4 linked regions of the Anolis sagrei genome follow. The protein of the gene in region 4 interacts with the protein of the main gene of each other region in a biochemical or structural test. Links are inferred from orthologs where the notes say so. Each region holds a gene or a part of one and is shown on either strand. Other genes may lie near its edges.

Evidence for each region.
Region 1: the proteins of PPARG (region 4) and NCOA4 form a complex in vitro, tested with the Homo sapiens proteins (2 studies listed by BioGRID, with this or other methods). The link is inferred for Anolis sagrei from reciprocal best matches to the Homo sapiens genes PPARG and NCOA4.
Region 2: the proteins of PPARG (region 4) and NR0B1 form a complex in vitro, tested with the Homo sapiens proteins (2 studies listed by BioGRID, with this or other methods). The link is inferred for Anolis sagrei from reciprocal best matches to the Homo sapiens genes PPARG and NR0B1.
Region 3: the proteins of PPARG (region 4) and CDC34 form a complex in vitro, tested with the Homo sapiens proteins (2 studies listed by BioGRID). The link is inferred for Anolis sagrei from reciprocal best matches to the Homo sapiens genes PPARG and CDC34.

The regions. Positions count from the first base shown.
Region 1 is NC_090023.1:159,364,653-159,371,824, forward strand, and holds the start of NCOA4 (nuclear receptor coactivator 4), read right to left. Parts: upstream 3,016-7,172; 5' UTR 2,885-3,015; intron 1-2,884. Other genes in the region: chymotrypsin-like elastase family member 1, read right to left, coding at 7,078-7,172. UniProt on the Homo sapiens protein: Cargo receptor for the autophagic turnover of the iron-binding ferritin complex, playing a central role in iron homeostasis. Acts as an adapter for delivery of ferritin to lysosomes and autophagic degradation of ferritin, a process named ferritinophagy.
Region 2 is NC_090023.1:83,341,858-83,349,088, reverse strand, and holds the start of NR0B1 (nuclear receptor subfamily 0 group B member 1), read right to left. Parts: upstream 3,006-7,231; 5' UTR 2,835-3,005; coding exon 2,093-2,834; intron 1-2,092. UniProt on the Homo sapiens protein: Nuclear receptor that lacks a DNA-binding domain and acts as a corepressor that inhibits the transcriptional activity of other nuclear receptors through heterodimeric interactions.
Region 3 is NC_090034.1:52,346,865-52,353,916, forward strand, and holds the start of CDC34 (ubiquitin-conjugating enzyme E2 R1), read left to right. Parts: upstream 1-4,041; 5' UTR 4,042-4,254; coding exon 4,255-4,431; intron 4,432-7,052. UniProt on the Homo sapiens protein: E2 ubiquitin-conjugating enzyme that accepts ubiquitin from an E1 ubiquitin-activating protein, and catalyzes its covalent attachment to other proteins by an E3 ubiquitin-protein ligase complex. In vitro catalyzes 'Lys-48'-linked polyubiquitination.
Region 4 is NC_090022.1:64,554,163-64,561,692, reverse strand, and holds the start of PPARG (peroxisome proliferator-activated receptor gamma), read left to right. Parts: upstream 1-4,525; 5' UTR 4,526-4,611; intron 4,612-7,530. UniProt on the Homo sapiens protein: Nuclear receptor that binds peroxisome proliferators such as hypolipidemic drugs and fatty acids.

The sequences.
Region 1 (7,172 bases), on a different chromosome or scaffold from region 4:
CTACATGCACAATGAAGGACCTTCTTATAGCAACACCAGAGGCACTCCAAGTGGCCAGCTAATGGTCAAAGGACATCTAATCAACTACCAAGCTTGCAAACTTTGTGTTTTGTTTGTTTGCTTGTTTGTTTAAAAATGCAATACAATTGTTTGATTTGCTCCTGACATGATAAATAAAACCCCTACAGTTTACCCCAATCAACTCCAAATACGCAGTTCTCAGCTGAGTTGCTTGATACAGTTAATGGGCCGTTTTGTATGTTATTTTAGCATTCCGGCTGGCCAATAATAATGTATTTTTAATAGAAGAATCCTGGTGTTTGGTTTCTCTCTTTCTTGTACAACTTACAACTAAACAGTACAGGTGTGATATCTTCTAGCTCTGATGTGCCACAGATACAATGTTTTGACCATTGTGTCCAGCTGTTCAAATCTAATTCTGGGAAAATCTCTCCTGGGGTGTTTAGCCATTTCTGTCTTTAGATATTGGACTGTTTGAAAAGGATGTTTAAAACAACTTAGCCATTTCAATGAGCCAACAAAATAAATAAATACGTTTCAACCTTTATTAATTTACTAACAGTAATTATAACATTCCTACCCCCTTCCTGTATCCCTATCACCACGAGGGATACAGCCCGTACCTTGGGAAATCTGATCTGGCCACGGTGGTCCACGCTCTGGTTACATCCCAAATAGATTACTGCAATGCGCTCTACGTGGGATTGGCTTTGAAGACGGTTCGGAAACTTCAGCTAGTTCAACGGGTGGCAGCCAGATTACTAACTGGGGCGGCATATAGGAAGCATACCACCCCCTTGCTATGCCAGCTCCACTGGCTGCCGGTCCATCTCCAAGCCCAATTCAAAGTGCTGGTTTTGACCTATAAAGCTCTATATGGTTCTGGCCCAGCTTACTTGTCCGAACGCATCCACCCCTACGTCCCACCTCGTAATCTAAGATCATCCGGGGAGGCCCTGCTCTCGCTCCCGTCAACAGCACAGATGCAACTGGTGGGGACGAGAGACATAGCCTTCTTGGCTCTGCCCCCCCCCCCCCCCAATGGAACACACTCCCAAATGAGGTAAGATCCGCTCCCTCACTCCTGGCTTTTAGACAAAAATTAAAATCATGGTTTTGGGACCAGGCCTTCGGGCAGTAGAAGTAAATGTATGCAGCATTTTGGAAAGGCAATGACTGGAACGGTGATTTGATGGACGAGACTGTTTTATTGTTTTAATGATTGTTTTATTGCTCATGGATGTATTTTTTTAATTTGATTTATATCTAATTGTAGTGTATAATTGTAATTGTTTGTACTGGCATTGAATTTTTGCCATTACTTATGTGTAAACTGCTTTGAGTCCCCCTCAGGGTGAGAAAAGCAGTATACAAATACTGTAAATAAATAAATAAATGATCTATATAAATAAAAATGTAATGTTCGTTTGTGGGATTAACAGAACTTAAAAATCACTGGACGAATTGACACCAAATTTGGACACAAGACACCTAACAACCCAATGCGACCTGCCTACCTGCGTGACCGCATCTCCGTATATGAACCCACCCGCTCCCTCCGTTCATCCGGAGAGGCCCTGCTCACGATTCCACCTCCGTCGCAGGCTCGTTTGGTGGGGATGAGAGAGAGGGCCTTCTCTGTGGTTGCCCCCCCCCCGACTTTGGAACACCCTCCCCAAAGACATTAGACTAGCACCCACGTTGGCAGTCTTTAGGAAGAACTTGAAGACCTGGCTATTCCGATGTGCCTTTCCGGAATAGGATAACCCCCAGCACTATGTCCCAGAAGCACTTTATTAGAGTTTAAGAGTCTCTGCACACTGCACTTGCCCAGAATCCCAACATACCACCTCTCACACCCAGCACTTTTTTAACCTGTACCCTTCATTGGCCCGGCCCTGGTTTTATTGCGTAATAGTGTAATGTTTTGTTTTCGTTATTGCATATCTTTTTAATTTGCTTTGCATTGTATTGTTATTGTCTGTTGTTGTGTTGAGGCCTTGGCCTTTGTAAGACGCATCAAGTCCTTCGAGAGATGCTAGCGGGGTACACATAAAGTTTAATAATAATAATAATAATGTATGTCCTTCACTCAAAAAAATTGCTTTTTTCATTTGGGAGTTGTAGTTGGGATTTATAGTTCCTCTACAATCAAAGAGCATTCTGGACCCCACCAACGATAGAATTGAACCAATCTTGGCACACAGAACACCCATGACCAACAGAAAATACTGGAAGGGTTTGGTGGGCAGTGTCCTTTGGTTTTGGAGTTGTAGTTCACCTACATCCAGAGAGCACTGTGGACTCAAACTATGATGGATCTGTACCAAACTCTACATGAATACTCAATATGCCCAAATGTGAACACTGGTGGAGTTTGGGGAAAATAGAATCCTAACATTTGGGAGTTGTAGTTGCTGGGATGTATAGTTCACCTACAATCAAAGAGCATTCGGAACCCCATCAACGATAGAATTGGGCCAAACCTCCCACACAGAACCCCCATGTGGGCCACAGCAACGCGTGGCAGGGGACAGCTAGTAAATAATAAATATCATACCCTTTGAGGGGGAAAAATATCCCCCCACACCACCCCACAAAAAAGATGGAAGTGGCAGCACTAAAAACCCCAAAGCCAGGACTAACAATGGGATTTTTGCCATTCAGTGTCATGATAAATGCACCACACCACCTGGACTACATCCAACGTCTTCACATTTGGGCTTTAAAATGGGGGAAATGCCTGCCCCGAGGAGCCATTTTGGCCCTTGTGGGAAATGTCAGCGCCGGTCCAGCGGGGCAATGGGCCACAATGGGCCTCCACACAACCAACCCACATCCCCAGGCCTGCAGCCTGACTCACCGAGGGCGAATGACGGGCTCCGTCCGGCTAGAAAGCGCGACAGGCCTCGGAAGGACGGCGAAGGCGCCTCACCTCAGCAGGCTCCGGCCGGAAAAGGGAGGCGTTCCCACTCTCTGTGACACTCTCGCGAGATTTCGGGCCCAGAGGCTTTCAGGGACGGCTCTCGCTCGCCCCCTGGAAGCAGCCGTGTGACGAAAAGAGAGAGGAAACCTCGGAGCATGCGCACTCGCGCTTTCGGAAATCTGGGTCTGGCCACGTGTCTCCTCCTGTCCTCCCCCTCCTCCCGTTCTTTCACGTCAGCAGGGAGCCCGCGTGGCGCATGGCTTGAGCGTTGGGCTACAACTCTGGAGGACGCGAGTTCGAATCCCGGCTCCGACATAAAAAAATCCATCAACAACTTGGAGTCACTCTGGACCGTGCCCTGACCTACAAGAAGCACTTTCTGGACATCAAGCAAAAAGTGGGTGCTAGAAACAATATCATACGAAAGCTGACTGGCACAACCTGGGGATCACAACCAGACACAGTGAAGACATCTGCCCTTGCGCTATGCTACTCTGCTGCTGAGTATGCATGCCCAGTGTGGAACACGTCTCACCACTGACATGCCGCATTATCATGGGGTGTCTGCGCCCTACACCACTGGAGAAATTACAGTGTCTAGCCCAGTGTTTCTCAACCTGGGGGTCGGGACCCCTGAGGGGGTCACGAGGGGGTGTCAGAGGGGTCGCCAAAGACCATAAGAAAACACAGTATTTTCTTATGGTCATGGGGAATCCATGTGGGAAGTTTGAGCCAATTCTATCATTGGTGGAGTTCAGAATGTTCTTTGACTGTAATGAACTATAAATCCCAGCAACTACAACTCCCAAATGTCAAGATCTATTTTCCCCGGACTCCACCAGTGTTCACATTTGGGCATATTGAGTATTCATGCCAAGTTTGGTCCAGATCCACCATTGCATGAGTCCACAGTGCTCTCTGGATACAGGTGAACTACAACTCCCAAACTGAAGGTCAATGCCCATCAAACCCTTCCAATTTTTTCCATTGGTCATGGGAGCCAAGTTTGGTTCAAATCCATCACTGGTGGAGTTCGGAATGTTCTTTGATTATAAGTGAACTAAAAATCCTAGCAACTACAACTCCCAAATTACAAAATCAATCCTCGCCCAACCCCACTAGCATTCACATTTGGGTGTATTGGGTATTTGTGCCCAGTTTGGTCCAGTGAATGAAAATGCATCCTGCATATCAGATATTTACATTATGATTTATAACAGTAGTAAAATGACAGGTATCAAGTAGCAATGAAAAAATATTATGGTTGGGGGTCACCACAACATGGGGGACTGTATTAAGGGGTCACGCCATTAGGAAGGTTGAGAACCACTGGTCTAGCCGGTATTGCACCGGTTTCAGGCGTGGGGGGCTGAGTCTGAGTGAAAGAGGGTCTACCCTAGCAAACCATTTGTATCATTACCCCAATACCCCCATGCATATGGGATATATTGAGTATGGTGATCAGATCATGATATGAATAAACATAACAGTTTAAATGATGCCTTTGCGAACCACCATGAGAATTTCGGGGGGGGGGGGGCTGAAGCCCCCAAGCCCCCCCCCCCCCCCCCCCGGCTACATGCCTAGACCAAGGCAGACACATCTCCAGCTCATCCCTTGTTTGGGTATCAGCCAGCACCCCAACGACTTAAATCAAGAAATAGTTTTCTAAGATCTACAGAGACACTCGCAAGAACACCTCAGCAAGCGAGAGTCCAAAAGTGGCAGACTCAAACCCAGAACCTCAATCAATGGCTGATACCCAATGAGAGACTCCCTCCTGGGCACACAGAAGACTGGGCGACTTGGAAGGCGCTGAACAGACTGCGCCCTGGCACCATGAGATGCAGAGCCAACCTCAAGAAATGGGGCCACAAAGTGGAATCCACAACATGCGAGTGTGGAGAAGAGCAAACTACAGACCACCTGCTGCAATGCAACCTGAGCCCTGCCACATGCACAATGGAGGACCTTCTTGCGGCAACACCAGAAGTACTCCAAGTGGCCAGATACTGGTCAAAGGACATCTAATCAACTACCAAGCTTGCAAACTCTGTGTCTTTTGTATGTTTGTTTGTTCTGTCAAAAATGTAATAGAACTGTTCAGTTGCCTGACACTATAAATAAATAAGCAACTTGGGGCCTTGAGCATTAATTATTATTATTGTTGTTGTTGTTGTTGTTGTTGTTGTTTATTCGTCAGTCCAGTGAAGACATCTGCCCTTGCGCTGTGCTACTCTGCTGCTGAGTACGCATGCCCAGTGTGGAACACATCTCACCACGCTAAAACAGTGGGATGTGGCTCTTAATGAGACATGCCGCATTATCACGGGGTGTTTGCGCCCTACACCACTGGAGAAACTACACTGCTTAGCCGGTATTGCACCACCATACATCCGCCGGGAAGTAGCAGCCAATAGTGAAAGGACCAAGGCAGAGACATCTCCAGCTCATCCCCTGTTTGGGTATCAGCCAGCACGCTAACGACTTAAATCAAGAAATAGTTTTCTAAGATCTACAGAGACGCTCGCTGGAACACCTCAGCAAGCAAGAGTCCAAAAGTGGCAGGCTCAAACCCAGAACCTCAGCCAATGGCTGATACCCAATGAGAGACTCCCCCCCCCCCTGGGCACACAGAGGACTGGGCAACTTGGAAGGAGGAACTATAAATCCCAGTAACTACAACTCCCAAGTGCCAAGGTGTATTTTCCCCAAACTCCACCAGTGTTCACATTTGGGCATATTGAATATTCATGCCAAGTTTGATCCAGGTCCATCATTGTTTGAGTCCACAGTGCTCTCTGGATGTAGGTGAACTACAACTCCCAAACTCAAAGTCAATGCCCACCAAACCCTTCCAGTGTTTTCTGTTGGTCCGGGAGTCCTGTGTGCCAAGTTTGGTTCAATTCCATCATTGGTGGAGTTCAGAATGCTCTTTGATTGTAGGTGAATTATAAATCCCAAGAACTACAACTCCCAAATGACAAAATCATAATTTTCTGAGTGGTGGTCACTCCTTTTGTTGTGAGATATTTTGTTGCCAACTTTGGTGTTATTTTGTTCATTAGTTCTTTTGTTTTTAAGGTACTCATCATCATTATTATTATTATTAACTTTATACCCCGCAAAATCTCCCGAAGGACTCGATGCGGCTTACAATGGCCAAGGCCGCCGACAACACAGCATACAATACACAATAAACTCATAAGCAAATAATAAACCATCAAGCAAGACAATAAGACAATAAACAATAACATCATGACACAATTAAAACCAAAGGCCGGGCGAAATGTAATGGACAAAATTAAAAGTGCTGAGCTTGACAGGTAAAATGTGAAGGGTGTTGGAGGTAGGTGCAATGTGCAGATAATCCTGAGTCTCTAACAAGGTGCATTTGGGACTTAAGGCCAGGAGTTTCCTATTCTGGAAAGGCACACTGGAACAGCCAGGTCTTCAGGCTCTTCCTAAAGACAGCCAGCGTTGGGGCTTGTCTGATATCCTTGGGGAGAGAGTTCCAGAGTCGGGGGGCTACCACAGAGAAGGCCCTGTCTCTCGTCCCCACCAGGCGCGCTTGCGATGCAGGTGGGCCTCTCCAGATAATCGGAAGAAACTTTTGGATTCGTAAACGGAGATGCGGTCACGTAAGTAGGCAGGTCCCAAACCATTTAGGGCTTTGTAGGTAAGCACCTGCACCTTGAATTGGGACCGGAAAATGAACGGCAGCCAGTGGAGCTCCTTGTACAGGAGGGTTGACCTCTCTCTGTACGGAGCACCTCATTATGCACAGAACATTTTTATATATGTAGACTAGCATATATACCCAGTGTTACCCAGGCATAATTGGGATCACTGCCAGCCTAATTTCTCCCTTCTTCAGCTGTGAGAAGGCCTACTTCACAATGTCTCCACAGCAATAATGTCTCCTCCCTTTCCCTTATACACATGTCACCTTTCTTTCCCAGTGACATCACATAAGACCACTACACCTAGCAACAGCCAATCTAGTGACATTACAGAGGGCCACTTGACCTTGCAACAACCTTTGTGGTACGAAAAGGCAAACAAACATACTTTGAAATTTATATATATATTATTTATTGACATTTCTAGGATTTCCTGGCCTCCTGTCTTTACAAAAAAAAGTCCTGCACCCTGACGGCTTCAATCCAGGAAATGTAGGCGGAAGTCCTGGTGAAGACAGTGGGCTTGTTCTGCACTTGGCATC
Region 2 (7,231 bases), on a different chromosome or scaffold from region 4:
TGCCATGTAAAATATACATATATAATAAAATAAATGCATATATTAAAACAATAATTAAGAACATATCAAACCTTAAAAACACTTGATAAAATCACGTAATCAATCCTATGGAATTCTGGGAGTTGTAGTTTTACAAACCATCTCTTCCAAAGAATGCTGCTGTCTCAGCAAACTACAAATCCCAGGACCCCATTGAATCGAGCCATGGTAGCTAAAGCAGTGTCAAACTGCATTCATTCTACCATATGATACACTGGATAAGAAACCTCCAAGGACTCCAGCTCAACTCCACTCTTGCAAACTCAGAACCAGGGGAGACTTTTAATTGAATCAATCCACCTGTAACAAAGTCTTCCTACTGTTCTCCACTTGACCGAGCAGTATTGCCTTAGGTAAATCAATTAGCATCGAGCATTGATTCCGTGGCACTGAGCCATGGCAGATAAAGCAGGGTCAAGCTGCAGGAATAGCAGGACTTGCCCAGGAGCTGCCTAAGGAGCAAAAGAAAATGGTCAGATGGGGGGGGGGGGAGGAAAGGGAGGGAGAGGGGAAGAAGTAGAAAGGGAGAAAGAGCAAGGGAGGGGAGAGACAGAGAAAAGGAGTAGAGGGAAAATGTGTTGTTCAAGGCTTTCATGGCTGGAATCACTGGGTTGTTGTGAGTTTTCTGAGCGGTATGGCCATGTTCCAGAAGCATTCTCTCCTGATATTTCGCTCACATCTATGGCAAGCATCCTCAGAGGTTGTGAGATTTGTTGGGAACAAGACATGTGGGGTTCATACACCTGTGGAATAATGTCCAGGATGGGAGAACTTGTGTCTTTTTGAAGCAGGTGTGAATGCTGCAATTAATCACCTTGATTAGCACTGAAAAGCCTTGCAGCATCAAGGATTGGCTGCTTTTGGCCTGGGGAATCATTTGTTGGGAGGTGATTAGCTGGCCCTGGTTGTTTCTTGTCTGGAATTCTCCTGTTTTTGAGTGTTCCTCTTTATTTACTGTTGTGATTTTAAAGGATTTTTTAAAATGCTGGTAACCAGATCTTGTTCATCTTCATGCTTTCCTTCTTTCTGTTAAAATTGTCCACATGCTTTGCAATGCTAATCAAGGTGATCACTTGCAGCATGCACAGTTGCCTCCAACAGACAAGAGTTCTTTCTCCCGCCCTGGACATTATTCCACAGATATATAAACCCCACTTGCCTCGTTTCCAACAAACAATGCAACCTCTGAGGATGCCTGCCGTAGATGCGGGTGAAATGTCAGGAGAGAATGCTTCTGGAACATGGCCATACAGCCCAGAAAACTCACAGCAACCCAATAGAGAAATAGAAGGAAATATGAGAAGGGGAGAGGGATAAGAGAGAAGAGAGGAAGACGGGGAGAGGGAGAAAGAGCAATGGAGGGGAGAGAGGGAGAAAAGGAGTAGAGGGAAAGAGGAGAAGGAGAGGGAGAAGAGCGGAAAACTGGAGAGGGAAAAGGAGCAAGGGAGGGAAGAGAGGGAGAAAAGGGGAGAGGGAGATGAGGGGAAGGCGAAGAGAGGGAAAAAGAGTGATGGAGGGAAGGAGAAAAGGAGTAGAGGGAAAGATGAGAAGAAGTGGAGAGGAAGGAGAGGGGGAAATGAGGAGAGGGAGAAAGAGGGAGGGGAGAAAGGACGAAAAGGAATAGATGGAAAGATGAGAAGAAGGGGGGAAGAGGGAAAAGAGTTAGAGAGTGGAGGAAGGCAAAAAAAAGGCTAGAAGTAAAGATGAGAAGAAGGGAAGAGGGAGAAAAGGGGAAGGTGGGGAGAGGGAGAAAGAGCGAGGGAGAGGAGAGAGGGGGAACAGGAGTAGAGGGAAAGATGAGAAGAAGAGGAGAAGGAGAAGAGAGGAAGGTGGGAAGTGGGAGAAAGAGCAATGGAGGGGAGAGAGGAGTAGAGGTAAGGAAGAGAAGAAGGGGAGAGGGAGAGAGAGGGAGTGAGTGAGGGGACGGGAGAAGGGGAGAGAGGAAGGAGAAAGGGAGGGGGGGAAAGAGAGGGGGAAGAAGTAGGCGGAGAGGTTGGGGGAGAGAACCCTGGACCCTTCCCCAAAAGCGTGCCCCCAGGGCTGCCCCACTGACCCGGGTTGAAGAGCACGGTGCCCTTGAGGTAGGCGTACTCCTTGGTGCTGATGTCCAGGCTCCAGCACTTGGCCAGGAAGCCTTGGATGGCTTGGATCTCCCCCGCCGAGGGCAGCTGGGGGCAGCGGGGCTCTGGGTCCTGGGGCGGGAGCCGCTCTTCCTCCTCCTCGTCGTCGCCGTCGCCCTGGTGGCGGTGGTGGCGGGGCTGGGCTTGGCCGGGCTTCTCCTGGGGCTGTCCGGGGTGTTGGTGGGGGCGCGGCTGGGTGGTGAGGATGCGCTGGAGCATGCTGGGCCGGGCGCTCTCCACGGTCTCGAAGTGGACGCGGTCCTGGGCCAGGCCGAGGGCGAGGAGCGGCGCCCAGCAGCTGCGCACCAGGACCAGTTGCTCGTCGAGCGGCAGCTCCTGGAAGCAGGGCACGCTCTTGACGAAGCGCAGCGTCTTCACCAGCACCGCCGAGGCCGCCTTGCAGGCCGCCTGGGGGCTCCGCAGGGCCACGCGCCGCCCGGCCCCGCACGAGCAGCCCGCCGCCCCGGCCCCTGGCCTCGCGGGGAGCGGCAGCGGAGGGGCCGGCAGCGGAGGGGGGCCCGCCAGCGCCTCCCCGCCTTGGCCCGCCGCCTCCCCCTCGCCCTCCCCCTCTTCCTTCTGGTGCTGGCGGTGCTCCTGGCTCTTGAGGATGTTGTAGAGGATGCTGCCCTGGCGCCGGTGGTCCGTGCAGCAGCGGCAGCGGTCCAGGCACGCCATGGCCGGCAAAGAGCGGGAAAGCCGCCTCGCCCGCACGCCCGCACGCCCGCCCTCGGGGCTATTTATAGCGCGCAGGAGTTCAAAGGCGCAGACGCTGCCGACTGGCTGGAAGGAAGGGACGGGGAGGAGGAGAGAAAGAGAGAGAAAGAGAGGGAGGGAGGGAAGGAGGGAAGAAGGAGAAGAAGAAAGCCCCCCCCACCAGGACTCCACCCTCTCCCCCCCCTCCCCTCCTTCTCGGGAGAGGAGGGCGTGTTGTCGCCGTCCCTTTCCAAATGCCCTCCCGCTTCTTCCGCCCGACCGTCCCACGTCGCGCGCTTTCCGCGAAGGGCTGAACGGGAGGGAGACCCACGCCAAGTTCAAGCGGCCGGAAAGAAGGAAGGAAGCGCCCCCTCCGGCTCCCCGCCACACCAAGGCGCTTCCGCCCAACGCTGCCTTCCGTGTCGGCGCGGAGTTGGCGCTTCTTCCAAGGCTTCCTTTGCAGCCTTTCCCTCGGTTGGATGGGGTGGGCAGGCGGGAAACGAACCCCTTTCTCATCTATATAAACAACAATGTAATGTTCGTTTGTGGGATTAACAAAACTCAAACACCACTGGACGAATTGACAAAAAAAATGATTTTCTCATTTGAGAGTTGTAGTTGTTGGTTTGGTGGGCATTGACCTTGAGTTTGGGTGTTATAGTTTACCTACATCCAGAGAGCACTGTGGACTCAAACAATGATGGATCTGGACCAAACTTGGCACGAATACTCCATATGCCCAAATATGAACACAGATGGAGTTTGGAGAAAATAGACCTTGACATTTGAGAGTCGTAGCTGCTGGGATTTATAGTTCACCTACAATCAAAGAGCATTCTGAACTGCACCAGCGACAGAATTGAACCAGTCTCTCCACACAGAATCCCCATGACCAACAGAAAATACTGTGTTTTCTGATGGTTTTGGTAACCTCTCTGGCACCCCTTTATGACCTCTGCAAGGATCCCACCCCCCAGGTTGAGAAATGCTGCCTTAAGGCCATCCAGCCCAACTCCCTTCACCAGGGCAAGAAAACATAAAGCCCTCTTGACAAAGAGCCATCCAGCCATAGATATAGATAGATAGATAGATACAATTCACACACACACACACATATTTGTATATGACAGATATAGTATCATAGATTTGACAGGGACCCCTAAAGAAGGACAATTATATGTTGCATGTTCCAGAGTAGGCAAACCAGACAATCTCTACATCAACACTGACAAAGAAACAAGAATAAATACTGTTTACCCACAAGCATAAAGAAATTACACATATTAGAAACCAACACTTTCTCGTTACTTTATTTTCCAGATCACCAAACTGGGCCACAGCAATGCCTGGCAGGGGATGGCTAGTGTGTGTGTGTGTGCATGTGGACAATTTCAACAGAAAGAAGGAAACCATGAAAATGGACAGAATCTGGCAACCAGTACAGTAGAGTCTTGCTTATTCAACATAAGCAGGCCAGCAGAATATTGGATAAGCGAAAATGTTGAATAATAAGGAGGGATTAAGGGAAAGCCTATTAAACATCAAATTACGTTATGGTTTTACAAATTAAGCACCAAAACATCATGTTTTACAACAAATTGGCAGAAAAAGCAGTTCAGTACACGGTAATGTTATGTAAACATCACTGTATTTATGAATTTAGCACCAAAACATCGTAATGTATTGAAACAGCTGTGGATCCAGGCGGAAGGCAAACTGCGTTGAATAATACGGAACCTTGGATGAGTGAAGGTTGGATAAGCGAAACTCTACTGTATTAAGAAACTCTAAAATCAGAACAGTAAATAAAGAACACTAAAAAAAACCAGGGGATTCCAGACAAGAATCAATCAGGACCAGCTAACATCACCAAACAAAGAATTCCTCCAGGCAGCAATCAGCCAGGCAAAGCTACTAAATGCTAATCAAGGTGGCCAATTGCAACATTCACACTTGCCTCAAGCAGACAAGAGTTCTTTCTTCTGCCCTGGACATTCCACAGGTGTATAAACCCCACTTGTCTAGACCCCTCAACTTCTGAGATTGGCTACTATAGATGTGAGCAAAACATCAGGAGAGAATGCTTCTGGAACATGGCTATACAGACTGGAAAACTCATAGCAACCCAGCCAGCAGGCTGTTAGGAATTGTGGGAGTTCTAGTCCAAAACACCTGGAGGACTGGACTTTGTCCATGCCTGTATTACATTACACCCAAGCAGTGTCCCTTCTCCGGAATAATAATAATAATAATAATAATAATAATAAGAAGAAGAAGAAGAAGAAGAAGAAGAAGAAGAAGAAGAACAGCAGTAGCAGTAGCAATAACAATAATTTATTTATAACCCACCCTATCTTCCCAATGGGGACTCAAGGCAGTTTCCAGAAGAAAACCAGCAAACATTCCATGCCGAAAGTGATCAACAAAACAAATCAAAACAACCAATAAATAGCATCAGTATAAACTTAATATATAAACTTAAAGGACAACTTGTTGTCCAATGCTTTCATGGCTGGAATCACTGGGTTGTTGTGAGTTTTCCAGTCTGTATGGCCGTTTTCCAGGAGCATTCTCTCCTGATGTTTCACCCACATCTATGGCAGGCATCCTCAGAGGTTGCGAGGTCTGTTGGAAACTAGGCAAGTGAGGTTTCTGTATCTATTTCTCCCACCCTGGATATTCCACAGATATATAAACCCCACTTGCCTTGTTTACAAGAGACCTCACACCTCTGAGGATGCCTGCCATAGATGTGGGCGAAACATCGGGAGAGAATGCTTCTGGAACATGGCCTTACAGCCGGGAAAATTCACAGCAACCCTTAAATGACAACCAAAGGCTAGATAGAGACACACAAACCTCATTATGCACATTTACATCAAAAGGATCTAAATCATTAAAGTGCAATTGAAAGTATAAAATGATAAGTGACGTTATATAAAATAATGTGATGATGATATCAACAGTCTAACAGCGCTAAAGTGCATTGCCAGAGTCTGAAGAAGAATTGCAAAATAGTCCCAAATTTTCCATAAGGAGACCTAAACAAGTTACATTTTTGCTTTCTCGTGGTGCAATGTATACTAATATTACTACTACTAATATTAACTTTATTTATATCTCCCCAAATGGACATGCAGCAGTTTGCAACAGATATTGGCAAACATTCAGTGCTGTAAGAAGCTGAAAAAAGACAAAAAATAACCAACTTCCCAAATCCCAAAAGCAAATCCACATCTACATCAAAAATAATAACACATTATCAAAAATTAGACAGTAAACATAATAAATGTACAATTGTACTAAAATATGATATACAGTTACCATCAGACAACATGTCTAGGGGTGGGTGAAAGGATAAACAAATGGGTATGCTTAGCCTTGTTTCCCATCTTTGAAGTAACTTATTAAGCATAAGCAAGTATTCCAAAATTAGGGGGGGGGGATCCTAAATGCACAACACTTGTGTTCCCAAACATTTCAGATAAAGAATGTTTAGTGTGTACCCACTATTTCATTGATTTGAATCTGCATGTGTAGAGAAAAGATATATTTTAAGCAGAAATCCAAGTAATCAGAGTATGAAGAGCAAGAGGTGGTGCAGGATATTCCCTAACCAGGAACATAACATATTCAGTATTTCTTTCTCTTGTTATTTATTATTTGCGAGCTTTTGCTTTTTTCTGTGTTGTAAAATGGGCAACAAATGAAAGCACCCAATACACATACACCACTGATGCAGGAGACAGTTTTTGATATGTTTTTCTTTCAGACAGCAGTGAAATTGAACCATCACAATTGTACAATATTTAGTACCAGTTTATCCTTATGAAAAGGAATAACAATGTTATTTTCATTTAACCAGGTCTTTGATCAAAATGGTAACTCTGTTTCACATCTACTTTCTTGATTTACACTTTAATTGAGTGTCTCCAGAAGTCATGGAAAGACATGTTTCAATAAGAATCCATTCTTGCTTTCCAGTTGCTCTCACTTCCAATCATGGTGGCTAAATAAACCTAATGTCTGAATGTGACAAAAGTTGACACTCAGTCATGTGATCCATGAGCGAGACAGAAAAACAAACCCTAGAAGAAAACCAACATTTCTCTGGTTTGTAGGAAGAGACCAAGCTAAGTAGTGCTTGAGTGCTTCCATTGGGAGGAGCTGTCCAAGGTACTGAACACTATCCCCAAAACAGGGTCAACATTTTGAACAGTTCCTTTAAAATTTTGGCCATAATCTGGAGCAAATTATTCTTGTTTCTTGTTTCTTTTCCTACAAGGCGTGTTTCTTTTCCTACAAGCCTAAGAAGGAATCCATGTTTTGTTGTGAATGGATTTAGTGCCAACACATGAATCAGACATTATATTTGCTCA
Region 3 (7,052 bases), on a different chromosome or scaffold from region 4:
GGAGTTGTAGTTGCTGGGATTTATAGTTCACCTACAATCAAAGAGCATTCTGAACTCCACCAATGATGGAATTGAACCAAATGTGGCATACAGGACTCCCATGACCAACAGAAAACACTAGAAGGGTTTGGTGGACACTGACCTTGAATTTGGGAGTTGTAGTTCACCCACATCCAGAGAGCACTGTGGACTCAAACAATGATAGATTTGGACCAAACTTGGCACGAATATTCCATATGCCCAAATATGAATATTTGGAGTTTGGGGGAAATAGACCTTGACATTTGAGAGTTCTAGTTGCTGGGATTTATAGTTCACCTACAATAAAAGAACATTCCGAACCCCACCAACGATAGAATTGGGCCAAACCTCCCATACAGAACCCCCACAACCAACAGAAAATACTGTATTTTCTGGTGGTCTTTGGCAACACTTCTGACACCTCCTCACAACCCCCTCCCCCCGGGGTGCTAACTCCCAGGTTGTGAAATGCTGCCTTAATGCCATCCAGTCCACCTCCCCTCACCAGGACAAGAAAACATAATCAAAGCCCTCCTGACAGAGAGCTATACAGCCATAGATATAGATATACATGATTCACACACATATATGTATATGACAGACATAATACCATAGATTTGAAAGGGACCCTTAAAGAAGGACAATGATATGTTACATGTTCCAGAGTAGGCAAACCAGGCAATCTCCACATCAACACTGACAAAAAAACAACAAGAAGTAGTTTACTCACAAGCATAAAGACATTACATATATATTAGGGGTGAATCCAGCAAAGACGGAGATCCTATGGCTGGGTTGACTGGGCAATGGGGACATCCAGTTGCCTACCCTGGATGGCAGGGCGCTACGCCCGTCATCATTGGTAAAGACTCTAGGAGTCCTTTTGGACCCTCTGCTGACGATGGAGGCCCAGGTATCCGCCGTTAGCAGAACCGCCTTCTTTCATCTGCGGCAGGCTAGACGGCTGGCCCCCTACCTGTCCAGGGACGACCTAGCTACGGTGATCCAGGCCACGGTCATCTCAAGACTGGACTACTGTAACGCCCTCTACATTGGCCTTCCTCTGTCGGTGATCCGGAAGCTCAAGTTGGTACAAAATGCAGCTGCTCGGCTTCTTGCGGGAATTCCGATGAGATGCCACATAACACCAATCTTACTACAGCTGCATTGGTTACCAATTGAGCACCGGATCACTTTCAAAGTGATGGTACTCACCTTTAAGGCCTTGCATGGTTTGGGGCCGATGTATCTGAGGGACCGCCTCACCCCCTACCAACCCCAGAGATCCCTCCGTTCTGAGGACCAAGATCTATTGGAAGTCCCCAGTGTCAAGACCTTTCGTCTAATAGCAACCAGACGCAGAGCCTTCACAGCAGTGGCACCATCACTCTGGAATACTTTGCCACCTGAAGTCCGTGCCTTGCGGGACTTACCAGCTTTCCGCAGGGCATATAAGACATACCTGTTTCGACAGGCTTTTAATGTTTGATATTGCTATTTTTAAATTGCTTTTAAATTTTGTTAGATTTTAGCCATTCTTGTGAGCCGCTCCGAGTCCCAGGGGAGTGGCGGCATATAAGTTCAAATAATAAATAAATAAATAATAAATTAGAAACCGACACATTCTCATTACTTTATTTTCCAGATCACCAGACTGGGCCACAGCAACGTGTGGCACGGGATGGCTCGTAATATTATTATTATTATTATTATTATTATTATTATTAACTTTGTATTGTCGAAGGCTTTCATGGCTGGAATCACTAGGTTCTTGTGGGTTTTTGTGGGCTATATGGCCATGTTCTAGAGGCATTCTCTCCTGACGTTTCGCCTGCATCTATGGCAAGCATCCTCAGAGGTAGTGAGGTCTGTTGGAAATAGGACAATGGGTTTATATATCGTGGAACGGCTGGGGTGGGGCAAGGAGCTCTTCCCTGCTAGAGCTAGGTGTGAATGTTTCAGCTGATCACCTTCATTAGCATTTGAAGGCCTGCCTGAGCCTGGGAAAACCTTTTGTTGAGAGGTGTTAAGATGTGCCTGGTTGTTTCCTCTCTGCTGTTTTGCTGTTGTAATTTTAGAGTTTTTTAATACTGGTAGCCAGATTTTGTTCATTTTCCTGGTCTCTTCCTTTCTGTTGAAATTGTCCACATTCTTGTGTATTTCAATGGCTTCTCTGTGTAGTCTGACACAGAGACATTGTTGGTGTGGTCCAGCATTTCTGTGTTCTCAAATAATATGCTGTGTCCAGGCTGGTTCATCAGGTGCTCTGCTATGGCTGACTTCTCTGGTTGAAGTAGTCTGCAGTGCCTTTCATGTTCCTTGATTCGTGTTTGGGCAATACTGCTGCGTTTGGTGGTCCCTATGTAGACTTGTCCACAGCTGCATGGTATACGGTAGACTCCTGCAGAGGTGAGAGGATCCCTCTTGTCCTTTGCTGAACGTAGCATTTGTTGGATTTTCTTGGTGGGTTTGTAGATTGTTTGTATGTTGTGTTTCCTCATCAGCTTCCCTATGCGGTCAGTGGTTCCCTTGATGTATGGCAGGAACACTTTTCCTCTGGGTGGAAACAACCAGGCACATCTTAACACCTCTCAACAAAAGGTTTTCCCAGGCTCAGGCAGGCCTTCAAATGCTAATGAAGGTGATCAGCTGAAACATTCACACCTAGCTCTAGCAGGGAAGAGCTCCTTGCCCCACCCCAGCCGTTCCACAGATATATAAACCCATTGTCCTATTTCCAACAGACCTCACTACCTCTGAGGATGCTTGCCATAGATGCAGGCGAAACGTCAGGAGAAATGCCTCTAGAACATGGCCATATATCCCAAAAAACCCCACAAGAACCTATTATTAACTTTATTTGTACCCTGCTAGCATCTCCCGAAGGACTCGATGCGGCTTACATAGGCCAAGGCCTCAAAACACAACACAACAATACAACACCTAAAGCAAATTAAAAACAGTTAAAGCAATATTAACAACAAGCAATAAACAATACATCAAGACACTATAAAACTGGGCCGGGCCAGAGTAATGGGTATTATTATTATTATTATTATTAACTTTATTTGTACCCCGCTAGCATCTCCCGAAGGACTCGATGCGGCTTACACAGGCCGAAGCCTCAAAACACAATACAATAGAAAACATAACACAAAAATAACAAAGCAAATCAAAACAATAAGCAAAAATAACGACAATGGCAGTACATCAAGACATTATTAAAACTGGTTCGGCCGGCGCAATGGGGTACAAGGGTTAAAAGTGCTGAAATGGCAGGAGGTACGTAGGATTAAAAGTGCGGTGTGCAGTGACGATTAGTTATGCTAAGGTGCTACTAGGACTTGGGGTGGGGATTCCTAGTCTGAGAAGGCACAACGGAACAGCCAAGTTTTTAAATTCCTTCTGAAAACAGCTAGAGTAGGGGCCTGTCGGAGATCTTTTGGAAGGGCGTTCCAAAGTCGGGGGGCCGCCACAGAGAAGGCCCTGTCCCGTGTCCCCACCAAGCGCGCTTGCGACGTGGGTGGGATCACGAGCAGGGCCTCCCCAGATGATCGGAGCGAGCGTGTGGGTTCGTAGATGGAGATGTGGTCACGCAGGTAGGGTGGTCCCAAACCGTTTAGGGCTTTGTAGGTGAGCACCTGCACCTTGAATTGGGCTCGGAAAAGATTAAAAGTGCTGATGTGACAGGAGGTATGTAGGATTATAGGGTAAGTGCAGTGTGCAGCAATCTTAGTTCTATTAAAGTGCTTCTGGGACTTGGTATTGGAGATTCCTAATTCTGGAAAGGCACAATTTTGGTCTATTTTACGAAGCGGGCACACACGCCTAGGAAACTTCTTCTGTGGGTTTGTTTCCTTCTGCCTCTTTGTTTTTCCTCCTCCACTTCCGGCTTCCTGCCGCAGGCTTTCTTTCTGGGAGGTGTAGTCTTCGGCTCCTTCTAGAGTCCCCGCCCCCTCCTACGGTCCCGCCTCCTATTGGCGGAGGCCTCGGCTGGCTCCTCCCCTTTCCCCCGCCCTCGGGACTACGCATCCCAGGCAACCCCGCTCGCGGCGGCGGCTGGTTGGCTGGCTGGCTGGTTGCTCGCTCGCTCTCTCTCAGCCTTGTTCTTCCCCTCAGCCTCCTCCGGCGGTGCTGTTCCTTCCCCAGCACCTACTGCCGCGCTCTCGTCTCCGCAGCCGGGCCGCCCCCGTCACGCGAGTCCCCGGCTTCGTTCGCGGCCTGCTTTGGAGCATGGCACGTCCGGCGGTGCCCAGCTCGGCGAAAGCGCTGCTCCTGGAGCTGAAGGGCCTTCAGGAGGAGCCCGTGGAGGGCTTCCGCGTCAGCCTGGTGGACGAAGGCGACCTCTACAACTGGGAGGTGGCCATCTTCGGACCCCCCAACACCCACTACCAGGGAGGCTACTTCAAGGCAAGCAGGCCTCGCACCCAGGGCTGGAGTGGATGATGATGATGATGATCAGGGAATATTATTTATTACCATTATATTACATAAGAATATTTATTATTATTATTATTATTATTATTAAGGAATATTATATTACACTGGAATATTTATTGTTATTATATTACATAGGAACGTTTATTATTATATTACATAGGGATATTAGTATAATATTATTAAGGAATATTATATTACATAGGAATATATTTTATTATATATAAATATATATATATAAAATTACACACCTTTATTTATATGTAACAAATTATTATATTGCATAGGAATATTAATTATTCTATTACATAGGAATTTTTGTTATTGTTATATTACATAGGAATATTTATTCAAAGGTAAATTACACATCTTTCTTTAATATATTTCTATTATATTTATATTCGTTTATATATATATAATTATATATATATATATGTATATATATGTATATATATATTTTATTCTAAGGTAAATTAAACACACCTTGCTTTATTTCTATTTAATTTATATTCTTATTATATTCAAAGCTAAAATATTATTAAATATATATTTAATATATTTAATATATTTATTTATATTCTTATTATATTCATATATATATATATATATATATATATATATAGGATCCCCTGGTTGCGCAGTGGGTTAAACCCTTGTGCCGGCAGGACTGCTGACCGAAAAGTCGATGGTTCGAATTCAAGTCCCATAGGCAAACCTCTCCATCACTGTTTATTTTTATCTCTCTTTTTAGTCTAGTCCCCTTTAGATGCTATTGTATAACCCCACTTCTGCTTTGAATCATATTATACTAATTCAGTGGGTCCCCAAGTGTTTTGGCCTACAACTCCCAAAAATCTCAGCCAGTTTACCAGCTGATAGGATTTCTGGGAGTTGAAGACCAAAACATCTAAAGACCCACAGATTGAGAACCACTGTACTAATTCCTAACCCACCCCTCCCATCTCATTTTCATAAAGACAAGACAAAAGCATGTTTACACCAATGATGAGTTTTGGGTCTTTATAATTCTAATCAATCCTATTGCGATGGGCCTATTATGAGTAACAAACATAAACATTAAAACAAAGCACCAAAACAACAGACTCTCGCCTGACCTCTTACTCACTGCCTGCTGACTTTTAATCAATTCCCTTTAAATGTGGTTGTATAATCTCACATCTGCTTCAAATAACATTCTACAATTTCCCGCAATAAACAAATACTAATTATCATAACTAGTGAATTAGTAAGTCCCAAATTTGCTGGTCGTTAGGCAAGTATTTCTCCTTTGTTGGCCTAGTTCGTTTGTCCAGATGCTACATTGGCTGTTGTTATACTATATAACAAAACATTTGGGGAGGGGGCAGGAGCAGGTATGGATCTGTTCTGGTTTGAATGTGTGATTTCCTGTTTAATTGTGTGGTCCTTACTTTGTAAAGAGTTGTTCTACTCCAGAAACTTTGTTTCCGTGGCTGCCACAACGTATGTTGAATTGGTTGAATCTCAGTGATATATTCATTGTATAACTAGAGAATGCTTTGAGCCACTAGAGCAGGCATGGGCCAACTTCAGCCCTCCAGGTGTATTAGACTTCAACTCCCACAATTACTAACAGCTGGAGGGCTGAAGTTTGACTGTGCCTGCAGTAGTGGGATGGGTGTCCCTTCCAAACTGATGCCATTTGCCCTGGGGTTGATCTGAGCGGCCAGGAAGTCCGACCGGCTGGACGACCTGATGACGGGGCAAAAAAAACGCCGCTGGGGAGGTTCTCAGTCGCAACTTCACTTCTGGAGGTAGGAAAACAGGTCCCAGTGACTCACCTGACCCTATATACCTTGGTAGCCCAACTTGCAAGGCGGGTCCTGAGTGCACGCCTTGGGCAGACATTGGCCTGACCTCCTAACCTAGAGGAAGGCTCCTGAAATGGCATTGTTGTTGTTACATTATTGTTATGGTTGTTGTTACCATTATCTATTTATATCTTCCCACCCAGTGTGCAATAATAACATGAAAGCACAGTGGGTCCTGCCAAAGTAATACTGTCTGCAGGTAGTCCTCAAGTTACAAACAGGATACGTTCTGTAGGTTTGTCCTTAAGTTGAATTTGTTTGTAAGTTGGAACGAGTACATTTTCTAAGTGTAACTCCAGCAATAAATAAATAAATCTATATGTGTGTGTGTGTGTCTGTGTATAGGATCGCATAGAGGAGGATGAACCCCCCCGTGGTGTTTGTGTTACTGTCTATTTGTTTGTAAGTCGAAACAAGTACATTTTCTAAATGTAACTTCAGCCAAATTTATATATATATGCACACGTATATGCATATCTATATGTATATTTAGCTTAGGATCACATAGAGGAGGGTGAACACCCCTGTGGTGTTTGTGTTACCTTCTGTGCCCCTGTTCGGAAGATTTCACCTCACTTTCTGTCCCTGTGAGAATGGGAGTTTGGGAAATTTGGCTTGTTGTGGAAACAAGGATCGAGGATAAAGCTTCAGTGGAGACCCCTTTCCTCCCGATAATAACTCTTCCAGGAGTAAATTTCCCTTCTGGTAAGTAGATTTCTCTCACTTCCTGTTGCCTCAGCCCTG
Region 4 (7,530 bases):
TATGGCAGTGTAGAAAGGGCCCTAAGATTATCTACTTTTAACTGGATTATGGGACAATGTAGACTCATATAATTCAGTTCAAAGCAGATAATCTAAATTATCTGATTTGATAATCTGGATTATATGGCAGTGCAGATCCAGCCTGTAAATTAGAAGTGACTTTGATCCCTTCTATACTGTCATATGGTCCAGACCATCAAAGCAGATAATCCACATTATCTGTTTGAACTGGATTATATGAGTCTATACTGCCATATAATCCAGTACACATCGGATAATCTGGATTTTATATGGCAATGTAGAAAGGGCCTTCAAAGCACACACAACAACAATGAATTAAACAATGCAGATATAAATTCTGTTTTTCCTAGCGTAACAGAAACAGAAATCACACACAATTTTCTCTCTCTCCTCTAATGGATGAATAGCTCAGTCCACTTGAGTTCAAAATACAATACTTCTAAAGCTGCTAAAGTTAGTTGTAATTTCTGGCAAGATGCCTTGTATTTGATGAGAAATGAGTGCCAGAGCTTGGGCAAGTTGTTGCTTCCAGACTGCAAATCACAACTAACTTTAGCTGCAGCAGAACCATTCTATTCTGAAAAGGGAAGAATTGATTTATTTCCTCTGGATGCACGACAAATGTGTAACACATATACATTTTTATTAAACCAGTTTTGCAGTCAAGTTTTGTATTTCCCCATTGCTCTTTTAAAGCCATAAATCCCTCCTTATTGGCCATATTTTTCCTGGTTTTAGGCTGCATCTACACTGCAGAATTAATGCAGATTGACATCACTTTAACTGCCATGGCTCAATACTATGGAAACATGGGAGTTTACTTACATCAGGTTTTTAGGCTGCTCTGCCAAAGAGTACTGGGGCCTCACCAAAGTACAACTTCCATGATTCTACAGCATTGGACCATGATAGTTAAAGGGGTCTCAAACTGCATTGTTTCTATGGTGTGTAGATGCACCCTTAGTCAACAGTAGCATGGAGGCTTGGCACCACCATGTAGCTATGGGGGCATCGGTATTTCTGGGGGTCTTCTGCTTCCATACTCTTAGCTGCTGTTCAGGAGCATCATGACACAATGTTTGTTTGTTTTTTAGTCCTGTTGGTCCTTTCTATCTTCTGTGACTTATAACTGCAACATGTTCTCTCCTTCTAAGTTCAAAGTAATAGCATTCTCACCTCACTCTTTCTGAGTAACAAGAAGGATTAGAGCAGTGGTTCCCAAGGCAACAGTGTAGTATGGTGAGGCTGTGGACGATATTTTCGTTCTTTTAGACCACTGGTTGGGAACCACAGGTTGGACCACAGGTTGGGAACCACTGGATTAGAGTCAGAGGACATTGTAGCTGCTCCGTAGAAACACAGTTACAGCCTTCAGGCACCATGGGCCCTACCACACTGCTACACCATTTTAGCATTATTATATCACCTTTACTGCCATGGCAACATTACATGGAATTCTGGGATGTGCAGTTTAGTGAAGAGCATTTACATTTCCAAGCCAGAATGCACTTGGATATCCATCAATCTTTGGGTATAGAAAAAATAACTTGATAAACTTTTTTTGCATGGTTGATAGTATAGCAAAGGTGGAAAACAAAACTGAACATTGAAAGCTCTCTCTGTGTTCTTATGAAAACATGTACAGGCAGTCCCCGAGTTACAAACATCCGACTTACAAATGGCTCATAGTTAAGAACAAAGGGTAGACAATAAAAAGTGAGCGGAATCTGCCCCTAGGAAGGGAAATCCACTCCTGAAAGAATTATCATGTGGAAAAGGGGTCTCCACTGAAGCTTTCTCACTAATTCTTGTTTCCACAACAGCTCAAATTTTTCAAAATCCAATTATCACAGAAAGTGAGGTGGAATCTTATGAACAAGGGCACAGACAGCAAAACAAACACCACATGAGTGGAGTTACACTTGAAAAAATTACCTGTTCTGACTGTCATACAAATTCAGCTTAAGAACAAACCTACAGGACCTATCTTGTTCATATCTTGGGAACTGCTTGTATTAATATCAGTACTCTTGGTTCCAGGACCCTCGTGGACACCAAAATCTGTGCCATCATATACAATAGAATAGTAAAATGCTGTGCCTGATATACGATAGCAAAATCAAATTTGCTGTTTGGGACCATTTTTACTTTGAATCCATAGATACAGAATTTGTGGGTATGAAGGGCCAGCTGTATATCTTTTTTTTAAAGGTAATTCCCCCCCCCCCCCCCAAAAAATTAGAGATAGAAAAGCCAACCAGGAGGAGGGGACTCTGTAATTAATTTACCAGAAAAATATAAACTCTTTAGACCTCTAATATTGAATTAACAATAAAAAAAACAATAGAAGACAGTAGGTGCCAAAAGCATATTTTTAGCATAGATACCTGAAAGATGATATGAATGGTGGCCAAAGCTATCTGGAGCAATGAGGAAGAAGAGCACAAGAAAAAAAGAGTAGATGAAGAATACGGAAATAAATAATTGCTGGTTACTCAATGGACTCATCATATCACTTCTCTTGAGTTTCTCCTTGAGGAGTGGAAAGCACTGTCAAACCTGATGGATCGGTCCAGGTCTGCCCTGGTTCAACTTTGCTGAGCTTCTCTTCAGACGCATCCATACTGTTGAATTAATGGACTTTGACACCATTTTAACAGCCACAGCTCAATGTTTAGCACCAGCACTCTTTGGCAGAGAAGACTAAAGACCTTGTAAAATTACAAATCCCATGATGCCATGGCAGTTAGTTTTGTCAAACTGCATGAAATCTACAGAGGAAAAGCAACCCCCCACACACTCCTGATGGTGGATGGGATCCACTGGGAGGACAAGGCATGGAAGGGAGTTGTTGCAGTGATGTTTTGGAGGGGGTCTCTGTGTGTGTGTGTGTGTGGTCCTGTACATGTCCATGCAAGCCTCAAAATAGCCCCGTAATGTTGTTTCTCTCCGACACCCTCTACATTCAGGGCCCTATCACACAAGCTTGCATTATCGCTCCACTTCAACAGCCATGGCACCATTCAGTGGGATTCTGAGATTTGGACTTTGTGATGAGTCTCAGTCAAGAGCTCTCTGGTTGACAACTCTCAATGCCATTTTCCAAACAGCAGTCCATGGGACCTTGCCGTGACAATTAAACTGGAATAACAATGCTGTAAGAGTGGCTGCATCCACACTGTACAATGATGTTTGTCACCACTTTGACTGCCCTGGCTCAATGCTATGAAATCCTGGGAGCTGTAGTTGGGTTGTGGAGCACCCAGTGAAGGTAAAAGTAACGGTTTTACCTGAGTCCCCCTTCGGGGGTAGAGAAGGGCGGGATACAAATATTTGAAATAAATAAATAAGGTTTCCCTTCATGTCCTACTCTGGGGGTGGTGCTCAATTCTGTTTCTAAACTGAAGAGCTGACGTTGTCTGTAGATGCCTCCCAGGTCATGTGGTACCTATTGATCTACTCAACCATTTGCATGTTTTTGAACTGCTAGGTTGGCAGAAGCTGGGGCTAACAGCGGGAGCTCAACCCACTCCTCAGATTTGAACTGCCGACCTTTTGGACAGCAAGTTCAGCAACTCTGTGGTTTAACCCGCTGCGCCACCAGGGGAAACCTTTACCTTTACCTTTATGGTTGGGTGAGGCACCAGCACTCTTTGGCAGAGAAAGCTAAAGACCTTGTGAAACGACAACTCCCATAATTCCATATCATTGAGCCATGGTGTCAAAGAGCATTAATTCTACAGTGCAGATGCACCTAGCAAAAGCATGGGCAAACTTGGGCCCTCCAGGTGTTTTTTTGGACTTCAACTCCTACCATTCCTAACAGCCTCAGGCCTTTCCTTTTCCCCCTTAGCCGCCTAAGGAGTGACCTAAGGCTGTTAGGAATGGTGGGAGTTGAAGTCTAAAACACCTGGAGGGCCCAAGCCGGCCCATGCCTGACCTAGCATCAGGTGGAAGTCTACACCTGTTTCCACACATGTGCTCCCCACGCTGGATCTGTGTGTGTAGACTCTCACACCAGGCAGTTTCAGTGCTATTGTCCCCCTTTTCCCCCCAGAGTGCATCTTCACTTGTAGAATGAATGCAGTTGGACGCTGCTTGAACTGTCCTGGCTCAAGGAAGATGCCTTCTCTGCCCAAGAGTGCTGGTGTCTCACCAAACTACAACTTCTAGGCTGCCATAGCGTGGAGCCCTGGCACTTCAAGTGGGGTCAAGCGGCATGACTGACTTCAGCAATGTGTGGACTGGGTGGGAAGTGAACGCGAAAACCTTCCAACTTTCCAACTCCTAGGATCCCATAGCCTGGCATGTTGCCTTCCTTCTCGGGTGTGCTGCGCCTCTCTCAGCCCATGCCCATGCCCATGTCCTCCTCGGTGGCTTCCTCTCCAGCGAAGCGCCAGCCTCGGTCCGCCGCCTCCTCCTCCCCTCCTTCCTTCCCGGGGGGGGGCCGTGTCCGTCTCCCGGGCGTGGGCTGGGCTGGGGGGCGGGGCTGGGGGCGGGCCCTCCTTCCTGCCCATAGGGCGGCCCGGGTGGGGAAGCCCAGATGCCACCAGGCGAGGAGACTTTCCCCAGCCGCGCTGACAGCACCAGGTCAGTCCCAGAGAGAGCGGAGAGGGAGAGGGAAGGAAGGAGGGCGCTCGGGTCCGGCACTCTTGGCCAGAGGAGGGAGGCTCCAGACCACACGTCAAACTGCATGAACTCTCTGTGGAGTGAGAAGGGGGCAAGCCCGTGGCGAGGCAAGGGGTGAAGAGGGCGCATCGGGAGCCAGGAAGGGGGCTTCTCGCTGGGGAAGGGTCCCTCTTGGCCAAGGAAACCCTCTGTGCTGGCACTCTTTGGGCTCGCCATCAGTCCCAAGGGGGCTTGGGCATCAGATTGGGGTTTGGTTTCACTTTATCCGAGGAAGAGAGACCCAGGACTCATTGAATGGAGCCGGTGGAGAGAAAGGGGAATCTTCACGATCATCCTCTCTTTGGGTTGCTGTAAGTTTTTCGGGCTGTACGGCCACGTTCCAGCAGCATTCTCTCCTGACGTTTCGCCTGCATCTATGGCAGGCATCCTCAGAGGTTGTGAGTTAAGACCTCTGAGGATGCCTGCCCTAGATGCAGGCGAAACGTCAGGAGAGAATGCTACCGGAATATGGCCATACAGATCAAAAAACTTACAGCAACCCAGTGATTCCGGCCATGAAAGTCTTTGACAGTACATCCTCTCTTTCTCAATCTTTCTTTCCTTCTCTCTCCCTCTCTCACATGCCCACCCAAGCCCCCCTCTCCAATTCATAAATATAGTTGTGTCAGGGCTTGAAAGTGAAGTTCAAGGACTTAGTTATACACAAATAGTGTAATGGGGGCTTCTCCTTTGGAGGCTTTTAAACAGGGGCTGAACAGGGACAGTAAACGTAAAGGTAAAGGTTTTCCACTGACATTAAGTCCAGTCGTGTGCAACTCTGGAGTTTGGTGCTCATCTCAATTTCTAAGCCAAAGAGCCGGCATTATCCATAGACACCTCCAAGATCATGTGGCCAGCATGACTGCATGGAATGCCATTACCTTCCCACCAGAGTGGTACCTATTGATCTACTCACATTTGCATGTTTTCAAACTGCTAGGTTGGCAGAAGCTGGGGCTGACAGCAGAAGCTCACGCTGCTCCACAGAATCGAACCTGTGACCTTTTGGTCAACAAGCTCAGCAGCTCAGTGCTTTAACCCACTGTGCCACTGGGGGCTCCTGGTGTCCAGGGATACTTTGTGCTTTTCCTGCATGGCATAGGGTTGGACTAGATGGCCCATGTGGTCTCTTCCAACTCTATGATTCCAAGGGCCCTTCCACACAGCCCTCAATCCCACAATACCAAGGCAGGAAATCCCACATTATCTGAGTGCGGACTCAGATAACCCAGTCCAAAGCAGATATTGTGGGATTTTCTGCCTTGATATTTGGGGATATAGGTCTGTGTGGAAGGGCCCTCAGTTGGAAAGGCGTTTTGTGGCTCTTCAGTCTTGTCCAGGAGAAGCTTCAGAAAGGGGAGAGGGAAGGGTTCAGTGCCCACTCCAGCCACAGGTGTGTGGCCTACCTTTGCATCCAAATCCAGGGATGAATCTTGTTCCCAGTAGATGCAGGGATCTTCATAAGGGTGCACTGTCTGTTCATCAGGGAAAGATGGGCTTCTCCTGTAGGGGCCCATCCACACAGCCATATAACCCAGAACATCAAGGCAGAAAATCCCACAATATCTGCTTTGAACTGGCTTATCTGAGTCCACACTGCCATATATTCCAGTTCAAAGCCCCTGGTGGCACAATGGGTTGAACCCTTGTGCCGGCAGGACTGAAGACCAACAAGTCAAAGGTTCGACTCCAGGGAGAGTGCGGATGAGCTCCCTCTGTCAGCTCCAGCTCCCCATGCAGGGACATGAAAGAAGCCTCCCGCAAGGATGGTAAAACATCAAAACATCCAAGCGTCCCCTGGGCAACATCCTTGCAGACGGCCAATTCTCTCACTCCAGAAGCGACTTGCAGTTTCTCAAGTTGCTCCTGATACAGAAAAAAAGCAGGTAATGTGGGATTTTATTCAGGGACCTAGGTTGGGCTGTGCCACCTGGAGCAGATGTGTTAAGTTTCCTTTCACAAAACATGTGTCATAGTTATCTATATTAAAGTGGGACAGATTGACTTCTGGGATAGGTCCACTGTGTTCTCTGCCACAACCTCAAGACACCTATATCTGTGGTGATGCTGCAGGGGAGGAGGCAAGGTGATGGAAAGGAAGCCTTTTGAAAAGACTGGTGGTTTAAAAAAAATGTGTTTCCTAACCACAATCGAGAATGTTAATGTATACACTAATGTTCCAAGCATAATCCTGCCATAACAGATATTATACATTGTGAAATATATGATGCCTCGGTGTCATATCCCGAGTCTGCAGGAGTGTTTTGTAAGTTTCCCACTGTCATTTCTCCCAAGGGCATTCTGCACTGGAGACTGCGCGTTCCTGTTAGTGTTGTAACTTTGAGGCAATACGTATGAGTTATGATCCAACTTGGTAGCAAGGTCATAATTTTATACAGTTGTGCCACGTGGAAGTTTCCTTTTGGTACCATTTTGAGGAGTTTCTTTCTAGGGTCCCTTCCACACAGCTGAAAAAAATCCCACATCTGCTTTGAACTGGAATATATGGCAGTGTGAATTCAGACAACCCAGTTCAAAACAGATATTGTGGGATTTTCTGCCTTGATATTCAGGGTTATATGGCTGTGTGGAAGGGCCCTGATGGCAGCTGATGTCCTGAAGGCAGCTGATGTCCTGAAGGTACTAGATCCTTTCTAATCTCAGATGATAAGCAGGGTCAGCTCTGGTTGGTACTGGGGTGGGAGACCACCAATGAATAACAGTTACTGCAAGCTGTGTTTTGGAAGACTGACAGATTGGAGGTTTGAATCCGGGGAGAGCCTGGATGAGCTCCCTCTGTCAGCTCCAGCTCTCCATGCAGGGACATGAGAGAAGCCTCCC